Canis lupus familiaris: one gene and its partners. The protein of the gene in region 2 purifies or fractionates together with the protein of the main gene of each other region. This does not show direct contact. Links are inferred from orthologs where the notes say so. Each region holds a gene or a part of one and is shown on either strand. Other genes may lie near its edges.

The links.
Region 1: the proteins of CAPZA2 (region 2) and WASHC5 purify together in Homo sapiens (affinity purification with mass spectrometry; 3 studies listed by BioGRID and IntAct, counting the BioPlex papers as one, with this or other methods). This does not show direct contact. The link is inferred for Canis lupus familiaris from reciprocal best matches to the Homo sapiens genes CAPZA2 and WASHC5.
Region 3: the proteins of CAPZA2 (region 2) and MTCL1 purify together in Homo sapiens (affinity purification with mass spectrometry; 3 studies listed by BioGRID and IntAct, counting the BioPlex papers as one, with this or other methods). This does not show direct contact. The link is inferred for Canis lupus familiaris from reciprocal best matches to the Homo sapiens genes CAPZA2 and MTCL1.

What each region holds. Positions count from the first base shown.
Region 1 is NC_049234.1:23,488,092-23,495,346, reverse strand, and holds the start of WASHC5 (WASH complex subunit 5), read left to right. Parts: upstream 1-2,441; 5' UTR 2,442-2,578; intron 2,579-4,392; exon of another isoform or gene 4,393-4,476; intron 4,477-7,255. UniProt on the Homo sapiens protein: Acts as a component of the WASH core complex that functions as a nucleation-promoting factor (NPF) at the surface of endosomes, where it recruits and activates the Arp2/3 complex to induce actin polymerization, playing a key role in the fission of tubules that serve as transport intermediates during endosome sorting.
Region 2 is NC_049235.1:55,890,776-55,898,030, forward strand, and holds the start of CAPZA2 (F-actin-capping protein subunit alpha-2), read left to right. Parts: upstream 1-2,102; 5' UTR 2,103-2,209; coding exon 2,210-2,248; intron 2,249-7,255. UniProt on the Homo sapiens protein: F-actin-capping proteins bind in a Ca(2+)-independent manner to the fast growing ends of actin filaments (barbed end) thereby blocking the exchange of subunits at these ends.
Region 3 is NC_049228.1:75,040,523-75,047,593, reverse strand, and holds the end of MTCL1 (microtubule cross-linking factor 1), read right to left. Parts: intron 6,194-7,071; coding exon of another isoform or gene 6,155-6,193; exon of another isoform or gene 6,137-6,154; intron 3,437-6,136; coding exon 3,242-3,436; 3' UTR 2,255-3,241; downstream 1-2,254. UniProt on the Homo sapiens protein: Microtubule-associated factor involved in the late phase of epithelial polarization and microtubule dynamics regulation.

The DNA of each region.
Region 1 (7,255 bases), on a different chromosome or scaffold from region 2:
AGCCATGCCGGCACCCTAATCTCTTGACTTCTGGTCTCCAAAACTGAAAATAAATTTCTGTTCTTTAAGCCACCCGTCTATGCTATTTTTTAATAGCACCTGGAATGGACAAAACACACAACGTATATAAGGAATAATACAATACAGGATAAGTGATGAGTGTCTCCCACATAGTAGCTATCCTTATTATGTGCATGCAAAATTCACATTACTCTAATGAAACTCTACGCTTGCAGAGAGCCGAGGGAAACTTCCTTCTGTAATTCTGGAGTATTTTCAGGAAAAAGATTTGGATTGAGAAGCAAAGAGAATGGATGGAGTAGACACACTCTTCTCTCTCTCTCTCCCGCTAAGAACAGCTAAGTACATAATTCACAGGACAACCCCACCCCCCTAAAGAATCATCTGGCCCAAAATGTCCATCATGAAACCTTGGTTTAAATCAACCTCCTCTTGAAGCCTTCCCTAGTAACAATAATCTCTTTGTTCCCTGTACCTACAGTTTCCAAGAAAGATTAAAGCAAGGTTTCCTGGCAACCCAGGTGGCCCAGCGGTTTAGCACCTGCCTTCAGCCCAGGGCACGATCCTAGAGACCCGGGATCGAGTCTCACATCAGGCTCCTTGCATGGAGCCTGCTTCTCCCTCTGCCTATGTCTCTGCCTCTCTCTGTGTCTCTCATAACTAAATAAAAATCATATATATATATATATATATATATATATATATATATATATATATATTTCCTGAGTTTTTCCCACGCATGTTATTTTCCCTTCCCATACCGAGCCTTGTCTTAGGCCATTCAGGCTGCTGCAACAAAATACCAGATTGGGTAGCTTACAAACAACAGAAATTGATGCCTGGAGTTCTGGAGGCTGGGAAGTCCAAGGTCAAGGTGCCAGCAGGGTCCCATTCCGGTGAAGGCCCTCTACCTCGTTCAGAGCCCCCAAGCCCTCTCACCCTTTGTCATCACAAGGTAGAAGGTGCAAGGGAGGGAGCTCTCAGGAGCCTTTTACAAAGGCACTAATTCCATTCATGAGGGCTCCACCCTCATCACCTAAGCACCTCTCAAAGGCCCCACTTCCTAATACTATATCACAACGGCATTAGGATTTCAACATATGAAGGGGCGGGGGGGGGGGCGCAGAAAAACATAAATATTCAGACCACAGCAAGTCTGATTCACTTCAGGCAGGGTCACTTATCAGCTGACTTGAAAATATTGTTTCCCCCGTCTCCTCTCTCCTTACAGCAGGGTGGTAGACCCAGAGCTAACAATTTATAGACACTCTGCCAAACGTCCTTCAAACCACGGGGCCTATGCAAGTCCAGCCAGAGCTACAGCTCCTTTTTCAAGATGCAAGGGTACGTCTTTCCTTATGAAACCGTCTCTTACCTATACGAGCAATTGCTCGTTCCCTCCCTCATGCTACTACTATGCCCCCTCTCCCTCACACACACACTTCTTCGTAAAACTCATCACAGCTATTTGTTCACCCGGCAGCCACTCCTTCACCCCGGGAGCAGCTTAAACCACAACCCTGACACGTTCTGCTAGCACATAAGACAGCTCCTCGTACGAAAGAGGCGATCAAAGAACGGAGGAGAGTGACGACAGGAACAGCAACCGCCCTTTCTTGGTTTTTTTTCTTTTTTTTTTTTTTTAAGATTCTACTTCTTTATTCATGAGAGACACAGCGAGAGAGGCAGAGACCCAGGCAGAGGGAGAAGCGGGTCCCACGCAGGGGGCCCGACCTGGGACTCGACCCCGGGTCTCCAGGATCACACCCTGGGCTGCAGGCGGCGCTAAACCGCTGGGCCCCCCGGGGATCCCCAGCAACCACCCTTTCGAGGCCCCCCACAGTGCGCCACAAACTGATGCCCTTGGCGCTACTTTCTCAGGACCGCTGATGCTCACAACCAATTATAGAAAAGGAAACTGAGGCCCAGGGAGCTCATTTAGACCTCCCGTCCGAGGCCCTGCTTTTAAAGACAGCTCAAAGCACACGAATCTGCAGCAGGAACCGTGAACTTTTCCCCCACTCGGGTGGGAGGATGGAGAGACGGCGCCTCGGGGAGGGGGCAGCCTGCCCAAGCCTCCGTGCTCGGCGTGCAGTGCCAGGACCACAGCCCGGGCGGACAGACCCCAGCTCAGGGCACCCGCGGGGCGCCCCACGGGGAGGCGACACCTGTCGCCACCCTCGCCCTCGCCACCCCCCGCTTCCGCCTTACCTGGAGGCGCGCCCCGGCTCGGTCTGGCAGCACCCGGACCGCCCACGCCCGGACCCCAACTCCTTCCTCAACTCCCTTCCCCAGTCGCTGAAACCGCGAGCGCGGGCTCGAGCGTCATCAGCCGTCGCCGGCCAGCGGTCACATGACGCCCCGCCCTGCTCCCGCCCCCTCTGGTCATGTGACTGCCACGGGCGCCACAGGCGGAAGCCGGGGTCCCGCCGGCTGGCGATCGGGGGCTGCGGCCGGAGGGGTCGTCGTGCGGGGAGGGGAGGCCGGGCACCCGCGTGCCGACCCCGCCCGCGCTCGCCGGCCCCGCACGTGCGCCCTGGCGCGGCCGGGGTGACAGGTGAGTGAGGGCGGGATGCGCTCTCCGGGGCCCCGGCCCCGCGCAGGGCCGCGCGGGCGGAAGGTGCGGCGTGGACGGGGAGTCGGGCTTGGAGGGCTGAGGGCCTGCCTGGGGCGGCGCTGCAGCCGCAGCTCTCCCACCTCCTCTCGGGGCCGTGGTTCTCCCCGCCGCGGACACTCAGCTGTTGGCCCGCCTCTGACCCCTCCAAGTTTCCAGGAGCCGCGCCGGGCGGGCGGCGTTAATCCTCCCCCTGCTCTCGAGAACACGGGGTGCTCGGCGAGGGCTTTGAGAGTCTGCTAGACCCGGGTTTGAATTCTAGCTCCGCCGTGGGTTCCGAACTTGAGCCAGTCATTGCTCCTCTCTGCACCCAAGTTCCCTCACCTGCGGCACGCCGGTGCCGAAGTTCTTTGCATTTTGGAAAATAGTTCCGAGGGTCCCGACAGGTTTGTGGCGCACGGTTGAAAACATAAATCAAGTCACGGTGCCGGTAATGGAGCCGGATTCCAAGTGCACGGAGTTTCCTCCAACAGAGATACTTGGGGTCGTGACAAGGGAGGGAGAGGTCTTCCTGCTTCTGCGCATAACCAGGAACGCCTCCCGTTTTTCGTTCTCCCGTCTTCCAGGATTTATGAATGGGGCTAGAGAGATCAGGCCCATTTCCGAACTTGCCTGGAAGAGATTTGTCACTTTTATTTTGATCAACAACCATTCTGTTTTGTTCCCGGTCATGGATAGGTGGAGCCCAGTGCTTCCTTCTTTATGGAACCGAGGTTTTATGAAAGGATTAAAAAAAAAAAAAAAGACTTCTTTTGTCCTCTGAGTAGGGCACACAGGTTTGTGTGGTTTGTCCCAGGACAATTTAATTTCCTTCAGAATTCAGTTCTGTACCTGTTGGGTAATTGGTATGATGGTGATGCCATGCTGCGTTCTTGAAACACGTTGTTGTCTTTTGTCTGGGGCTACCTTCCAAACTGAAAACCACAGTTCCATGCCAAAATTCTTAAAAATAAGTTAACAGCTGCTTTTTGGGGTGCCTTGTAAAGGAAGAGTAGGAAATCGAGTGGGATCTCTGGTTTCATTTCATGCCAGATAGTAATACAGCCTATATTGAGAAAACTGGTCTTTATGAGTTTCCTTCGTCTCTAGCACCAAGAGAACCACTAAATGGAAGATTTGATATAGGTTCATCTACAGTGTTTATCTGGGTCTCATTCGTTTTAAATCTCAACTAAGTATTAGCACCTTATGAAACCACCTGATTCTGAGAGCGCTGCAACATGATTAGGCATCTTTAATGTTGGTTTTAGATTCTGTTCTTTAGGGCAAGTTTCTCAACCAACAATGGGTTATCTACCAAATACTCTAACCAAATAATATTTTAAATGTTGCCTACAACGTAAGGATTTAAGGATTAAAATAAGGGGTAAACACACAAAAGTCTTCACTTATGTCATTATTCCAAGCCTAAGCTAACTTGACTCTCTGCGTGCCGGAGCTGAGTGTATCTCTTTTTTGTTTTTTGTTTTGTTTTGTTTTGGGGGGGGGGGCGGGTTTTGGTGGGTGAGGTAAGGAGAAGAAGGCAGGTAATGTTTTGCTTAAGATACTTTCTCCATGGTCCCATTGTCAATCCTATATTGGGATCCAAAATCTGGGAGCAGTTACACCAGTTAAACGTAGCTTGCTCACCTTGCAGTTGTGTCTTGAGTTTCATCCTACTTAGACCTGGATCTTCAGAGGAATTCAGTGACTTGTTGTTGTTGTTTTGTCCATTTGCCATTATTTTCCTCCTCTCCTTGTCTCATTTTCCCAACTAGACCATTTCAGTGCAAAAAAAAATGGAATGAAATTGGGGTGCCTGGCTGGCTCAGACAGTAGAGCATGTGGCTGATAATCTCAGGGTGAGTTTGAGCCCCACACTGGGGGTAGAGTTTCCTTAAAAAAAAAAAAAATGGAATGAGATGATCTGAAATTCAGCCTATTAGAGATCAATGTGGCTTAATGAGTAAACATTATGAGAAAACGAAAAGACTTGTTAATAATTTAATCCTTAATGTGTATTAAAGATCTCCTTATAAAACAAAGTTCTAAACAACTGTAGTGGTTTCTCAGCAATCCCTGCTCTTGGACCAACCCCATCTACTTCCTTTGATCTGTGCTTCTCTCACTTGCTCACTCTGTTCCAGCCACATCAGCCACTTGGCTATTCCTTCACATCTAGCACATTGCTGCTGCCCTGTGGCCTTTGCATTTAATTTAAACACTTCCTGGAATGCCCTCCTCCCAGATCATTACTGATTGTAAAATAACAGACTGCCCCAAAACCTAGTAATTTAAGACAAAAAAAATTTTTTTGGCTAATAGTTTCTGTGGTCAGGAACCTATGATGTAGCTTAGCTAGGTGCCTTTGGCTCAGGGGCTCTTAGGAGGTTGCAGCCTGGCTGTGAATAGAAGTTGTCTTATCTGAAGGCTCAACTGGGGTTGTGTGTAGTTCTATTTTCAAGCTCATTCAAGTGGTTGTTGGCAAGCCTCTCACTCCCTCATCACAGGGTACACTCACAACATGACAGCTTGCTTCCCCCAGAACAAACTAGCTAGGAAGGATGCCCCAGCCAGAAGTCACCATTTTTTGTGATCCAACCTCAGAAGTAATATCTTTTCCATCTGCCTTATTGTGTTCTTTAGGAGTCGGTAAGTCACCCTCAAGGAAAGGGTTCATACACAGGGCATGAACAAGGAGATGGAGGTCACTGGGAACTGTCCTAGGGGCTGCTGACCACACTCAAATACCCTTACTGCTTGCTTCCTTACTTCCTTCTGGTCCCTGCTCAAACATCTTATCACAGAGGCTGTAAAACAACACACACTCCATCTCTTTATCATGCTTTTTCTTCACAGCAATGATCACAGCCTGATACATAATGCATTTATTTATTATCTCTTCCCCACTCCTAGTAGTATGCAGGCTTTATGAGAGCCAGAACTTAGTTTTGTTTGCTGCAATATCCTCAGGTCCTAAAACAGTGCTTGACGCATAATAGGCACTGGGTACATATTTGTTGAATTAATGAATCTATACCAGTAGGATTCTGTAAAGAATCCAAAAGCCAACTAGCAGTAAATAAATCATAAAAATAGCTCATTTTACAAGGATTACAGAGGCAGGAAGTGCCACAGTTGAATCAATGAGTCAATAACATCAACAAGAATTTAGATTCTTGGGACGCCTGGGTGGCTCAGCAATTAAGCGTCTGCCTTCGGCCCAGCGCATGATCCTGGATTCCCGGGATGGAGTCCCACATTGGGCTCCCTGCATGGAGCTTGTTCTCTCTCTGCCTGTGTCTTTGCCTCTCTCTGTGTGTCTCTCATGAATAAACAAAATCTTTTTAAAAAAAGAATTTAGATTTTTTCTAAATTCCTTCCAAACCACAATCTGCAGGTTTTTGGCTTTTTTTCTTTTAGCTTGTCATCTTGTATTTCAGGCAAGATATGTTCATGGGACCACATTCAAAGGCAAGAAGGAGAGGGATAGCCAGAGGAAAGATAGAGAAATTTCTCTTCATATGCTTCTCTCCTTATAGCAAGAGGAAAAACAATATATTTCCTGTGAGGTCTACCATAGACTTCCTCTTTATATCTGATTGGTTGACACTGAGTCACATGTCTAACCTCACTTCAGGGGCCATGGAAAAATAAGGATCCACTTGTTTCCACCTCTGTAGGAAGAAAGGAAGAGGAAGGAGGAAATTCTTGCTGAGGAGTCGACAGCATGCCAGTAAATTAATACGTTTCTAAGTATTTAATCAATTCTAAGAGACGTACAGAAGGAAAAAAGAAAACCTTGAAGGGCTATACAAAGTTTCCAGGTATTAGATAGCTACACTAGGTAGCTTGACATGAGCAAACTCTGAATATATGTGGCAAGGGTTGGGGAATGTTTTGTTAGGGCTACAAAGGAAGCCTTCTGTCAAAAGTCTTCCCACATTCTGTTTTTGTGTGCAGCGACATCCTCATTGTTTCATCGTTCACTATCTGAGTCCCTACAGCTAGATTACATATTTACGAAAAAGTTGGCATTGATGTAAAAATTTTAATGAGCTGACCGCTTATACGATTAGTTCTTCTCATTCAGATATTTGTGTCCTAAAGGGTCTAGTGGGTTGAATTCTTATTTTTGTTGTTCAGTCTTCTTAATGTCATGTTGATAGAACACAGTGCCAGTGCGAAATGCAAATGTTGGGAGGTATACAGGCCTTCATGACGCTGAAAAATAATCCAGGCTTCCATGAAGTTGACCACGATGACCTAGCTAAATGAACAATTAGAGGAGAGAAATATAAGAAAGATGATGAGAAAATTAACACTTCCGAAGATAACGATTTGAAAAAGAGTTGGAAGAAGCTTTTGGGAAAATAAATGCTGCTGTGAACGTTTTTTGCAAAAATTACCTTTTTCTAATATCATGCTATAAAAGTCAGCTATGAAGTACAAGATACTGTATTATCAAACTCACAATTCGGTGAAATCCATGTTTGACTCATTCTTGGTTTGTCCTTTGAATGAGGACATAGTTATTGCACTTTTACACTAGATGTTGTTAGGTATGAAATTTACTTTCATAAATTTTAATGATACCATTTCAAGATACCTTTCTAATCAAAACTTTTCCATGGCTTAGCA
Region 2 (7,255 bases):
CTGCATGTAAATGACACATGTGAAAGTACCTTCACACAAGTCACTATAAATCTAGAAAACACTGCTATTAAGTAATTTACTGAGTGTTCAGAGTATGCAAATCATTGTTTCTTGTGGATGGAAAGCAAACAGAAACCATACTATTGAAAACCTTGTAGTCCATTCTGGGAGAGAACAGGAAGGGGATGCTTGCTGACACGTGAAGGAAAAAGCAGGTGTGTTGTTGAGGATAATGGTGCAGAGAAGGTATGATAGAGAATAAACCACACGGTTTGGTCAGGGACCTCATCGGATGTAAATAAATAATATGTTCATTTTTCTATAGTTGACAGGTCATTCATTCATTGCTTCATCAATTTCTCACTACAACCTCATGAAGTAAGGTATCTATCAGCATTACTATACCCATTTTCCAGGAGAAAAAAACGAGGCTGAATATTTGTTCAAGTTTGCACTCAAGCGACTAAATTGCTATTAGAATCCAGGCCTCTTGAAAAAAAAAAAAGAATAATCCAGGCTTCTAACTCTGTATCCTAAGTTGTTGCACTTTGAGATCTTTCTTCCTCTCTAAAGTCTAGGCACTCTCCTCCATATACAACCTAATGAAGGTGATTACTCTCTCCAACTGATTACTATCAGTTTTAGTCATCACCACTTGCTGCATCAACTCTACTTCTGGGTTTTTTTTCCCCCTTTCTTCTGTTTTTTGTTTGTTTCTGTTTACTTAGCAACACCTAATATTAATGTGTACACACTGGGTTTCTCAGTAGATGCTGTTGCTTGACTAACAGGCTGCTCTTTTCCTCTAGAAACCTCACCCACATTTGGTAATGCTTTGCAATAATTTGAGTCACACTATCTTCATAATCTTGGTGATACTTTATATGCGTCTCTTCACAGTGACACAACCAGCAGTTATGTATCATTTCTGATAATCCTTTCAGAAATCTCCCAATACCATCTTCTTGATACAGTTAAAAGAAATTATAGAATTCATGCGCTTGACTGAATGAAGTCTTTAAAAATATTTTTAAAATTGAGACATAGTTGACCTACAACATTGATTTAGTTTTAGATGTACAGCATAACGATTATAAAGTCTTAAGTCCTATCTGAATTCTACAGGCCTTGCTAAAAAGTGTGAGAGAGCTTGTTATAAAGGCAGATTCTCCAGCCCCATCGCAGACCTCCTAGAATCAGTAACTGCATTTTAACAAGATCCCCAGCTAATTCACATACACAGTTTTTACTACATTTTCACTCTTTTGCTGAACTTGAAATGTCACGAGTAAGCTTCTCAGATTTTGCAAATCAAAGTAAAGGATTCCCATACAATTTGAAAACCACCAACACCGTCTCAGTGCATCCCAAATGCTTCATGGGAGGTACTTATGCATAAACGATATTCACTGTTCATCTGAAATTCAAATTTTACAGGGCTCTCTGATTTCAACCTCGCCATGAAGTTCAGAAGAGTAGGAACCACGTCTTCTAACACAACTTTGTCTTCCCCCACCATAGCACAGCGCCCTCCCCAACTGCTCAGTGCTTGTTTCCAGAGTAGACAGGGAGCCTCTGGAGAGCAGAGATCTCTGGTTTTCTCTCCTCCTTGTGTATTTGCAGGGACCAACCCGGCACACGGTAAAGGACCAGTTAACATTTCTTTAAGTGAATGCACGACTGACTGTACCGAGAGCAAGGTCCCGAGTGTGGGCTGGGCTGTGCGTGCATATTTTAATAAAGACGGAATATTTTTCTAGTGATTTGAAGAAAACAGATGGTCTTGCAAAGCTTCTATTCGTCCGCTGTTTCCCCGGGTGGCTGGCAGAGCCGAGGGCTTGACGGGAACACGATGGAGGGCTCAGGATGGATGGGCTCAGCATGGGCTCAGGATGGGCTCAGGATGTACCCGCCGCAGACGCGGGCCCAGCTGCTCACCCGCGGCGGCAGGCCCCGCCCCCCGGCGCTCGGCCCCGCCCCCCGGCGCCGGCCGGCTTCCCGCGCATGCGCACAGCCGCGCCGGCGGGGAGAGGGGGGAGGAGGAGGAGGAGGAGGAGGAGGCGGGGCTTCCGGGGCGCGTGCGCGGCGGGCTGGGCGGCGGGCCTCTCCCTCGGCGGGGGCGCGCGGGGCGCGGAGGACCGCACGGCGCGAGGGGGAAGTCAGGTGGCCGCCGCCGCCGCCGCCGCCGCGGTCTGTCGCCGGGAGGAAAATGGCGGATCTGGAGGAGCAGCTGTCCGATGAGGAGAAGGTAGGAGCCGCGCGGGCGGCGGAGGCCGGCGGCCGCGGAGGGGCCCCGGCGTGTGCCCTCGGCCGCCCTTCCTGCCCGCCGGTCGCCGCGGCGCCTCAGCGCCTGCCGCTGTCAGTCACGGAGGCCGCGCGCGGGGGCAGGTCTGCGCCGGGCCTGCCTCGCCGCGCCGCGCCTCGCCGCGCCTTGTAGGGTGTGTGCTCTGGAAACAGGCGGCGGCGGCGGCGGCGGCGGGGGCGGCGGGGGCGCGGGGGCGCCGGGTCGCGGCCTGGGCGCGGGGCCTGGGCTGGCGGCTGCCGCCGGGCTGAGAGCCGAGGGCCGAGGGCTGAGGGGGCAGGCGCCTGGGAGGCCGACCCTCGCCTCCTCCCTCCTCCCTCCTCCCAGAAGCCAAAACGCTTCCTTTTCTGGTTCTCGACGCTTTTTTTTTTTTTTTTTCGCTTTTTTTTTTTTTTTTTCTCCTTTCCCAGTGGAAGTCTCTCTTCTCCCTCCCCCCCTCCCCCCCCCGCCGTCTCCCGTTTCTCTTTTCCGGCCGTCGCCGTAGCCGTGCGGCTCCGCGGTTGGCTGCGAGGCGGCCCAGTCGCTCCCCGCGACCCCCGCCCGCCCCGCTCCGCGTCGCCGTCTGCCGCCCGCCCCGGCCCGGCCGCCCCGGCGCCGCTGTGGTGGCGGCCGCGCCAGCTTCGAAACCTCGCGAACGGCCCCAGAGTCTCAAGCGATTTCGAACAAAAAGGAATCTGATCCTAAAACTGGGTCTCTGAGGTCGCCCCCCCCCTTTCCCTGTGAGGAGGGCCCATTCCCCAGGGAAGAGGGGGAAGGGGGGGAAGGGGGGAAAACGGGGGGGGGGGGCGTATTGATTTTCCGCATTTTCCCGGAAGAACTTTGACGTTTCTCAAACTCAGAAACGTTGACGGGACCTAATCTGTGGATTGAGATAGTTACAGTTTTCCAAGCGTCCACTCTTAATTTCACAGTGTTCACCTTTATTTATTTATTTATTTTTATTTATTTATTTATTTATTTTTTAAGTTCCAAAGCGGTACAGCCGCGGATGAAACACACTTCAGGGTGTTTAAGAAATCCTAATGTAAAGCCTAAGGATATTTTCAGTTACAGCTCTGCTCCATGTTTTTTTTGTTTTGTTTTGTTTTGTTTTTTTAATAGCCTGGGATGTAAACCAGCACCAAAATGTAATGTCCTGTCGCCTTCCCGATGTAAATGTGCATTAGTGGGCCTCATCTTCGATTTTGGAAATCTTCCTTTCCTGTCTTTTCCTTCTTTCCTTTACCCTTCCCTTCCCTTCCCCTCCCTTCCCCTTCCTCTTCCCTTCCCCTTTCCTCCCCTTCCCCTTTCCTTTGCTTTGCTTTGCTTTGCTTTTCTTCCCTCTGAGCCCTTTGGTGCAAGTGATCATAAAAGGACAAGATGGGGAGAGCTGCAAGGTTCTCCCTAATTCACGGACCTGGCAGGCAGATCCCTTGCATATGCAAAAGTTGCTCTGAAGTGTGCACTTGTGCTATAATAGGTTAAATAACCATGAGTTCACCACAGAAAATGTTCAGGATCCGAGCACACACGTTTAAAGTTAGTGCTAAAGGTCTTTAAAGGGATTGTCATGGTCTCATTCTGCTGTCCTTAAGTAGTGGTTAGTAGTTTAAGTGGCTAGAATCTGGCTGAGGAGAGAGAATTCAGTGCGGCAGTTAATAGAGTCCTGCCGTGTGTTGTAAAGGCCTAAAAATGGCAAAGTTTTCTCCAAATGAATTGACGAGGTTCCTCATTATCTGGCATTCTCAGGGCACTAAACTCCCTAAAGAGGAGGGAGGAGGGTGTCTTAATCCTCCAAGCTTTCCCAACTTGGTGGTTTAAGACTAAATGAATGAAAATTCAAATTTGGGGCGCCTGGGTGGCTCAGCGGTTGAGCATCTGCCTTAGGCCCAGGGCATGACCCCGGGGTCCGGGGATGGAGTCCCATCCATCTCGGGCTCCCCGCAGGAAGCCTGCTTCTCCCTCTATGTCTCTTCCTCTCTGTCTCTGTCTCTTATGAATAAATAAAATTTTAAAAAAAGAAAAAAAATTTGAAGGAATTTGGTGTTTTTGTTGTTTCCTAAGACTATTTTGTTGATATTTTCATATATAGTTCATTGCTATATTTAGTGATTTAAGAAGACCAAACTTCTGGGTTACATTCAAATAACTGGTGAAATGAAATGCTAACACACTTGCCACTTTAGTTATTTAAATGTTCTTTTAATCTTTTGTGAGTAGGTTGGGTATAGAATCAAATAAAATTTTAAAAGGTGGTATTTTATTTTTATGTATTTATTTTTGGTATTTTAAAACTAATATTTAAATCGTGTTACTTTTTCTGCCACCTTATTTGTAATTTTCAAAAATAAACTTTTAATACTATTAAGCTGTTGGAATTTCCATTATTGATTGAAGATCTGAAGAAGGGAATCTGTTAATTTACATAATACCCGTACATTGGGTGGCCCAGACCGGTACATACATTTGTTAATATGTTGTAAGTTTGAGGTAGGTTTTATTATACCATTTCACAGGTACATAAAATAAGGTTTCAGTAGCTTTTAAGTGATTCACCCAAGGATGCCTAGGTAAGAAGTGGCAGAGGGAATATATATACATATATTTTAAAGATTTTATTTATTTATTCATGAGAGACACAGAGGCAGAGAGAGAAGCAGGCTCCATCGATGCAGGGAGCCCTATGTGGGACTCGATTCCAGGACTCCAGGATCAGGTACTGAGCCAAAGGCAGACGCTCAGCCACTGAGCTCCCCAGGTGTCCAGGCAGAGGGGATATTTATACCTGTCTGTCTGAATCCAGAGTTGGTACTGTTGTGACAATTACGCTCCCTTGACAATGAATGATAGGATCTTTTCTGGCTTTATCTTTGTTTTCAATTTGTTGACAACTTCTTTTGGAAAAGGAGAAAACAGTAGTTCTTTTTGTTTTTACTAAAAATTGTAAATATCTAACATTAATAGTGTTGCATTATAAACTGAATTTGTTTATTTTAGGACAAAGTTTATTATTTACACATTTTAAAATTTTATGCTACTGGTATAGTTTCATATATGCAAACTAAGGTAGGAAGCATTTTATAAAGATTCATCTAGAATAACATCTTTGTTTTTTAAAATCATGTACAATTGCTTTGTGAGGATACCACTATGAAATTTAATAACCTTTTCACCTTTGGCCACTAGATTAATAGGAAATAAAATTATCTGAAGAAGCACAGTGATGTTCTTTAAAGTTACTCATTTGTGGTAGCACGTCCCAGAGATACTTTTTTTTACATTGTTTAGAAATTCTAGGCCAAAAACAGTTCATGTTTTCCATTCCTGGGGTTAGTTGCATTGTAGAGTAAAGCAATTTTGTGAATTTGAAATTATGTGAAATTACAGTATAAAGCAGGAGAATTAATACGTTTCACGCCCCTCCTAACAGAGGAAAGTCACTCCCGAGCTCCAGAAGGAAGACAGTTATTAGTTGGAAAGGATCTTTTTGGTTTTTTTTCCCTATAACCCCTCCTACCTTTCTCTGATGATAAGAGTGATCCACTTCCATAGCTTCATTTTTATGAACATTTCTCAAATACATAGCTCAGTCCTAACTTCCCTTCTGAGCACTAGTCACACATTTTTATTGGCTCGTCCTTTTCACAGGAGACAGTTAATGAGATGTGTTCAGACGGAACCTTCCTAAGAGTAAATTCATAAACTCCCTCCCTTCCCCTTTCCTTCTACACCAAGTGGGGCAGAAATCTATCTCCTGCTCATTTTTCTCTTTATTTCTCTATTTCCATTATTCTAGTTATCCTGGTTTTTAACTTCAGCTTTATGTTAACTTTTGCCTCCTCGAGCTCTGTACCTTAGAGTCTGTTTCTGAATCTTGTTGCTCCCATCATCAAAATGTGTCTTGTGCAAAAAATTTCTTTTTGCTTGAAAAGGTAATTCATTTATATTAATTTTAGTTTTTTACGTCTCAGTTGACCAGACTATTAAACTATTATTTACATTATTAACTACTATTGTTCAGTAACAAAATTTTATGGTATGAATAGAATACAAATTGACTATACCTGTTCTGTGACTACACAGTTAAGGGAGAAATAAAGCCAGAGGAGGACAAGTAGGATCAGAAGAATGTCTCATAGTTGGCCTTTCCCTTCTTTTGTATTTGCCACAGTAGGCTTTTTGTTATAAACTTTCTAGACTAATTCCACCAATTTCCTGTGTCAGAGTCATGTTTTAGTATGTTGTTTTTGTACTCCCAAACTTTTAGTTGCTGGATCCTCCATTGCCTTTACAAGGAAGCCCAACTCTTGAAAATGATACTAGTGGCCTTGTATCCCATCCTTACTTTGATAGTTCTGACTCCAATACATACTTAATCATGCTGTGAATTGAAGAAGACCTATGTGCTAGTCCACGTCTATCTAGCACCTTGGATAAAGTATGTAACCTCTCAGCCTGTTTCCTCTGAAATGTGAGGATACATATAAATGGTACGTGGCATATAGTAAACACACAGTAAATTGTAGTTTGTTTTTTTTTTTTTTTTGTTTTGCTGATACCTTCTTACCCACTTTTTGATGTTAGAACTGCTTCCTAGTCCACTTTTTTGAAAGATGAAAATCTTACTCATCCCTCAAGATTTATCGCAGACCACGTGTCTGGCTATAACATATCATTAGTATTAAATATAATTTTGCATAATAGTTGTCTGTTAACCTGTTTTTTTTTCTTTTGTTCTGTTGGAATTCATAAGTGCAGAAATAATATCTTTAGCAACTGTCAATACACTGCATGTAGTGAGTAGAAGGCTTTAGTGAGGGAATGAACAAAGGAATTGTGAATTCACAAAATGAAAACAGGTTTATGAAAAGCAGAAGTAGCATATGGGGTGCCTGGGTGGCACAGTTGGTTAAGAGTCTGACACTTGGTTTCTGCTTAGGTTGTGATCTTGTGGTCTTGAGATCAAGCCCCACA
Region 3 (7,071 bases), on a different chromosome or scaffold from region 2:
CCAGCATTACCTGCTTAGCTGCCCAGCCATTCACTTGGGCAGGAGTACAGAACATGATTTCATCCGACTTGCTGTCTTGCTTTCTCAGGAGCTGGAGTAGTTCCACAACAAATGGACTCAAGAATACCTATGTCCAACTCTTAGAAAATTGGGTGATCGGAGAAGTTCCAAGCTGGCTTTCAAGGCACTGGGACCAGCATGGTGTGGCTTTGCTCACCCCAGGCTCCGCTTCTGCTCCTGAGAGCCTGTTACTGCCCCGCTCTGATGTACAACTGCCACCACCTCACATTCTGCTCCTCTCTTCTCCCAACCCAACATCTCTCCCTGCCTTTACACTGAAATCTTGCTCATTCTTGAGGTCCAACTCAAGCCCTACTCTACTTAGGATTTACACCACGGCGTTCTTGCATTTTGTTTTAGTGCTTGGGAATTTTATCTCCTCCAACCAGATCGCATGTTTTTTCTGATGACCAGACCTCTTCTAACTCTGGGGCACCCCGTAGTCGTACACAACCTGCGCTGCCTGCCAGGCAACTTCTCCTCTGTTCTGCCAACCTCTGGTTCTCCTCTGCTGGGCAAATGTGTCAGCGACTGGCTCAGGGAGTGACATGTGAGTAACAGGAGACCCATGAGATTTATGACACCTGGGGCTTTTGCTGGAGCCACCAGAAAGAGATCTTCTTTATCCATGAGTTGATAAACTGATAGGGGCTGCTGGGGACCATCGTAGCTGACTCTCAGATGATTGAGAAGCGAGCCCACAGAAGGGAGCAGAGCCAGGGGGCAGAGCAGAGTCCTGATGGCACTGTCGGAGGCTCTGGATTGTAACCGCGCTTGATGCTAGCACTTCTCCACTTATGAGGGCCAACAACTTCCCTTCTTCCTGCTGGTTGGTTGCTTCCAACTGGAGATACACTAATGCGCCTTCCAGCATTTACTGTGGGCAGGGCACATGGTAGGCACAAAAGGTTTGCTGACTTGGCAGTTTGTTTGCCGCTAGGTCTAGAGTAGTCAGGTGGAGTGTTTTTTGCATTAAACATTGTTATTGTGGTAAAATATACGTTGACATTCACCATTTTAATCATTTTAAGTGTAGAGTTCGTTGGCATTAGGGACATTCACATTGTTGTGTAACCATCACCACCATCTGTTGCCAGAACATCCCAATCAGAAACCATATCCACTAAACACTAACTCTCTGTTCTTTCCTCTCCCCAACTCCTGGTAACCATTATTTTACTTTTTGTGTCTGTGAATTTGACTACTTTATGTACTTCCAAGAAGTGGAATCATACAATAGTTATTTTTGTGATTATTTTGTGATTATTTCATTTAACATAGCATCCTCATGATTGGTGCATGTGGTAGGCAGCATGTGCCAGACTTCCCTGGCTTTCTAAGGCTGAACATTCCGGAGCATGTACACACCACATCTCATTTACTCACTCACTGATTGACAGGTTGTTTCCACCGGTTGGCTTTGTGGATCGCGCTGCTGTGACTATCAGTGCGCAGATAGTTCAAGTCCCAGCTTTCATTTCTTCTGGGCCTGTGGCCACAGCTGCTGGGGCACAGATAATTGTTTCACCTCAGGACCCATCCTGCTGTTCTCCACAGCGGCTGCACAAACAGCACCCCAGGGTTCCAGCATCTCCACGTTCTCACCAATAGATGGTATTTTCCATTTTAGGGGAAAATATTTAACTTAAAGGTAGAACTGTTGTAATGCTGGGAATAGAGCTTATTCTGTTAGCCAGTCTAGAGAAGGACAGCACTGTTGAGTCAATGGGACATGAAGGCCAGAAGCTTCGGCCCAAAGTAGTTCTTTCACTCTTTACCAGCATCACCTCTTTATAAACTCCCTACTCTGTTACACACTGACAGGCCGGGTGACACCTCTTTGTCAGGGAGGGAAGCCGGTCCTGGTGATTGGCCACTCCCCCTTTCCCAGGGAGGGGAGAGGGAGAGAGGCCAGGCACATTTTGACTTGTGGGTAACAGTTGCCTCACACCTCCATGCCCGCCATGTTTTCAACCAGAAGTTGCCTTGTCATCAACCCCAGGGCGCTCTTATGGAGAAGAGGGAAGCTGTGGCATACCAGGTGCTCACGGTGTACCCCCAGTGAGGTGTGTTAGCAGCTGTTGCCTCTTTACAGGACCTCCCCTTTTCCTCGTTCCCCTGGCTACGGAAAACTATTGCTTGAGCCCTTAGGGGAAGATGGAGGGCATGTGAAACATGAGGTCCCGGAACAGGCTGCCATCTTGAAAGGCTTTATTTCTACTTCATCATTGTCTCATACAGACTCTGAGGGACCATCCTTTGCTTCAGTTTGGTACCCTCCGGACTTTTTGCAGTGCTTTTCCTTAAACAAGAAAATTTTGAGTAAACACTGTATATTGCCAGTTCATCTTTAACAATAATTTAAAAATGCCATTGCTGTTGTATCTCAATGCAAGAGGACAACGATGAAAGTACAGTACGAGGGATTCACAACGTATTACAGTGGGACAGATGACTCACACTTACGCAATGGTAGGACCACAGTAGCAGTATGTACATGCACCCCAGAGCGCTTCGAACCCAAAGACATGCAAGTCGAGTAGAGTACGTGGATTATACAGCAAATTTGGTAAGCCCAGCTGAGGACTCTGTACCTTTGCAAGAATGCTGACGTGTATCCCCTCCAGTAGAGAGGATATCCGTCTTGTCGACTGGCTTCATGGCTTTTTCACTATAAAAAGTTCACTGAATCAGTCTGAAGCATTTCAAAAATTCTTAAAAAACAAGAACACTGACAAAATGAAGTTAACTTAAAACACTCTACTTCAATGTGGGAACAAATCAAACCAAGGCGTAACAGTGCAAATTTAACAGAGAGGCAGTCAGTATTGAGAGCAAGGGTGTTCAGAATCTCTTAAAATGTACATCTTTAAAACTTTTATTTTTTAAATTTATATCTTATCTAGCTTTTTTGTTTAATATACTGTGTAAAAAAGATGGAGACAAAAATAGTTTTCTGAGCTATGAAAAAAATTAAGTTATTACAGGCACGTTTACGGTTTCGTTCTAGAAACATCTCAGGTTCACAGGTTGGACATTCAGCAGCTGTGTGTTTTTTAAAAACATTCTTTGACCTTGGGAAAGCTAGATCTTTCCTTGTGGGTGGAGCTTGGTTGATGACAGCGTGGTTATGCAAATTACAGGGAATCATTCCCTGATAATCCATGCAAACTTGCACTCGTCACAGGTGTGTCTTCTCCCCCGGTGGCTCCTCATCGCCGAGCTCCTCCAAGGAGGCTGGGTCTCCGGGTGACTGAGCCAGTGAGGCAGTGGGGGAATGTGAGGCCCAACGGGACGGAAGGCGACGGTTTGCTGGTCTCTCGGGCCTGGAGAAGCAGGGTTCTAGGGATGGAGCTAGTGCGGAACAAGGTAGTTCCTTCAAAGCCGAGAAAGAGAAAGACAGGGTTACTCAGAACCACAGTTCCTTTGTGGGGGGAAGGGGGTGACTCTCCCCAAACACACTTCTCAACAGACTCCAGTTAAATGCAATGGATTAGGGGCAACTTCCCAATGTTAATTTATACTTGCTCCAGGAGAATAACAAAATGGTCAGTGAAAAATTCAAACAGATGATCAGTGACAGAGGAATGAGAAGATAGCAAATTATGATCAAAATATGGCAATGCTGTGAGATGGGTATGTTTACACAAGCATCTTCAGAATTGGGCTAGAGCCTATGGAAGGTGGGGGAAAGCCACAGGCCACCTGGTCATGGTCTGACTTGGCTGACCCCATCCTTCTGGCCCTCCTGAGTGATCTATTAGCCACAGTGACCTGGCCCTAAAAGGCCAGTCTCCCTACCCTTTGGTCTGTTGGAGGCCCATGAAGAGACGGATGATTTATCCAGCTGTATTAGCAAAAAGACTCACCTTAAAACGAACTCTGCTACTGTTTATTCCAAGTTGACTGACAGTGGGTTAAACAAACTCCCACAACATGGAAAAAAAATGCTGCAGGCAGAAATTTTAACTTCGGTCTGGTTTTTAATGACTCTTCCCTGCTGCAGCATTTTAGAAAGTGGCATCAGAGTGTGCTTGTGCTTCTGTTATAGGCATCCTACGCCTTCTGAGAACAGATAATGCAAGACACACTCAACTGTGGGGCAGACCACCTATAATACATCTTCCCGGGCCAAGGCTCCTTTTCTGGTGTTAACGAATGTCCAGCTACTTGTCCTTAGTCTGCAGGCTAGGAAACAAGGATGCCCAAACCTGGAGTCTGCTGGTGCACGAAGAGTGCGGGTGGTGGGAGGAAACCCGAGTTCACCGGGCGGAACCCACCTGCCCAGGTGACACTCAAACAAGAAAAAGCTGAGATGGTAAGCCACTGCAATGAAGAATGACAGCAAATACAGGCTCTCAGAGCCCAAAGGGAAGGACATCAGAGGACGGACATAGATGTGACAAGCAAGTGCAGAGGCCAGGATGAGGAGGGTTTAGTCTGCAGAGCAGGGAGTGACAGTGGAGAAGAGACGGTGGGCTGTATCCATGGGCACAGTGAGGACTAAGGAGAAGAGGGGAGGCAGAGCGCCGCCTTGGGGCTTCTGGAAGAGTGATGGAGTGAGGTGGGCCTTGCTTCCCCGTGGGCCCCACGGGAAATGGCATGAACACTGAGATACTTCTAAACATCCCCGGCCTCCTTGTGACGGCAGTTGTAGCAGAGGATGGGGAAACCTTGATTAGCAAAGTGCTAGGCTGGTGGGAACCATGGCAACCAGGAAGACCTCGCCCACAAAGGCCTGAAATAGCTGAAATGCAAACTAGGTGGGGTGAGCTGTCCTCTCCTCACCTCAGCCCTGCTATGCACATGCGTGGAGGTGCATGGTTTAGGACACCTGCTACTGCTTTGTCTTTTTCTGTCTCTGCTCCTCCTATTGTCAGATTTGTGTGTTGTGTGTTTGTATTGTGTATGTTGTGTAGTATATAAGTGTGTTGTGTATGTGTGACATCATGTTGTGTACAAGTATGTGCCTTGTATGAGGATGTTATGTGTGCATCGTGGGTCATTTTGTGCATGAGTGTCATGTGCTGCATGTGCTATGTATGAGTGTGTGGTGTGTGCCAGGTGTGAATACTGAGATGGCTGCTATCATGGGTTTTTTCCAACACCGCTGCAGCCCATTGCCACCTGGCCGATACTGAACCAGAACGGGCTTTTGATTAGACAGCGTGGTGCCACTTCTTCATCATGTGAACCCCTATAGGGAGAAATGTGTGACCGGGTTCAAGAATGGACTCTTTCTTTAGTAACACACCAGTACATACATGCAAATGGTCCCGTCCTTCCCTAAGAAGCCACTGCAATGGCTTAAAATGTGGCCATTTTATCTTGAGAGCACCTTTTTAGTCTTTGAGAGCCAACTGCATTTTTGTATTTAACACTCTGAGTTAAGACTAGTGGGTGAGGTGGGTGGGTGACTAATTCGTGATCAGACATAAAACTGGTATTTTTTCACATGCCTCGATTCAGGCTCAGATGGCAATTCTGTGAGACTATTTTTTGGAGCAAGGGATGGCTTTGTTGTTGATTCATCCAACAAATATTTATTGAGCACTTACTACATCACCTATGGTGATCACTTCGAAGGACAAGATACATTTGGATTTATTCCTTCTGGTGCGGGTGTTGAAAGAGAGAGAAAAGCCTCATCGAATTATGGTCACATCTCATTATAGCATCTAGTAGTGTACGTGTGCCTCCAGGATACCAGCGAGCAGGGACAGGCCACCTGGGAACATATTCGGCTCACAGATCCCCACCGACCAGGCCTCTCTGCCAGAGACAGTCCCTTCTCCAGCCAATATACCTTTACTCCTATGAGAGCAGAGAGTGGAAATCTCAGCAGGATTTCTTCGGTACTCTGTGCGGCCACTGGGAATGTCTAGGCTTGCCCATCTGTCCCTGAATGTGGACTGTAGGCCAGTGCAGGTGGTGGGCTCTATGGTCAGGGCAGATCTACCTGGCACGTTTCAGCCTTGTTTCTGAGGCTGAATCGTGGCATTTCTGACGCCAACCAACCCCAGGTTACACAGATGACCTTTCCAGACGGTGTGCAAAGAAGGTAGAAAGCACTTACGGCGTGAGGCCGGCAGGGCTAGAGTTCCCAGGGGGCAGTTAGTAAGACAGTTTGGTTCTGGACAGAACAGACAGAGAAAGAAAAGAAAAGCAAGTAGGTTGGAAAGTACTTTTTAAACAAGAAGAACAGTAAAGGTTTAAAGTCAACAAGCCTGGTGGTAGTTCCAGGGACAGCTATCAGGAGAAACATGGGGCCTGCAGAAACGGGCAGGTGCACCCCGGGTACGCAGACCTCTCTCTGCATGGGTCCAGGTGGTTTGGAGCATGGAAGGACCCTCACTGCAGAACAACATCCGATCTCTCCCCTCTGCTTTCTGTTCTTCCCTGATTGGCCCTTTAGCACTTAACATTTCAGAAACCCTTTGGTGTGCATAGAGATGGAAGTCACATGACTGTTGTATTTGAAACAGAGGATTAAATGGTCTGTTTTTGTCACAATGATCACATGGTTACTGCTCACACTAAAAGTTTCCCCTTGTATTTTCCACTAGACACAGGAGGGAAGAATAGCACTGCATTTCCAGATTATTCTTTCCCTTCACACCATAACTCATCTCTTAGCTTCTCCGCATGATAGAACTGGTGCTACAGTATCAAGAGAAAAAAAGAGGATAAATATAGCCATGGGACAGGAGTGAGAAAAGACAAGGGAGATTTCCCGCCATGCCCCCAGCCAGGGAGGCCAATGTCCAGGCATCCAGGGAACATTTAGGGAAGGGCCCACTGCGGGGTGCTCAGGGCAGGTTGGACAATCAGCACAAGTCCTGGTGATTTTGGAATGAAAACCCAGAACTACTTATTACATAATTTAGGGGATGATGGGAAGGGATTTCCAATGGGCCTATTACAGGAAGTCAATTTAGATAGGAACAATGTCACTGGAATCTAGAACAAGCAAAATACCAACAGGAAAGGAAACAGGAGCCCATAGTATTT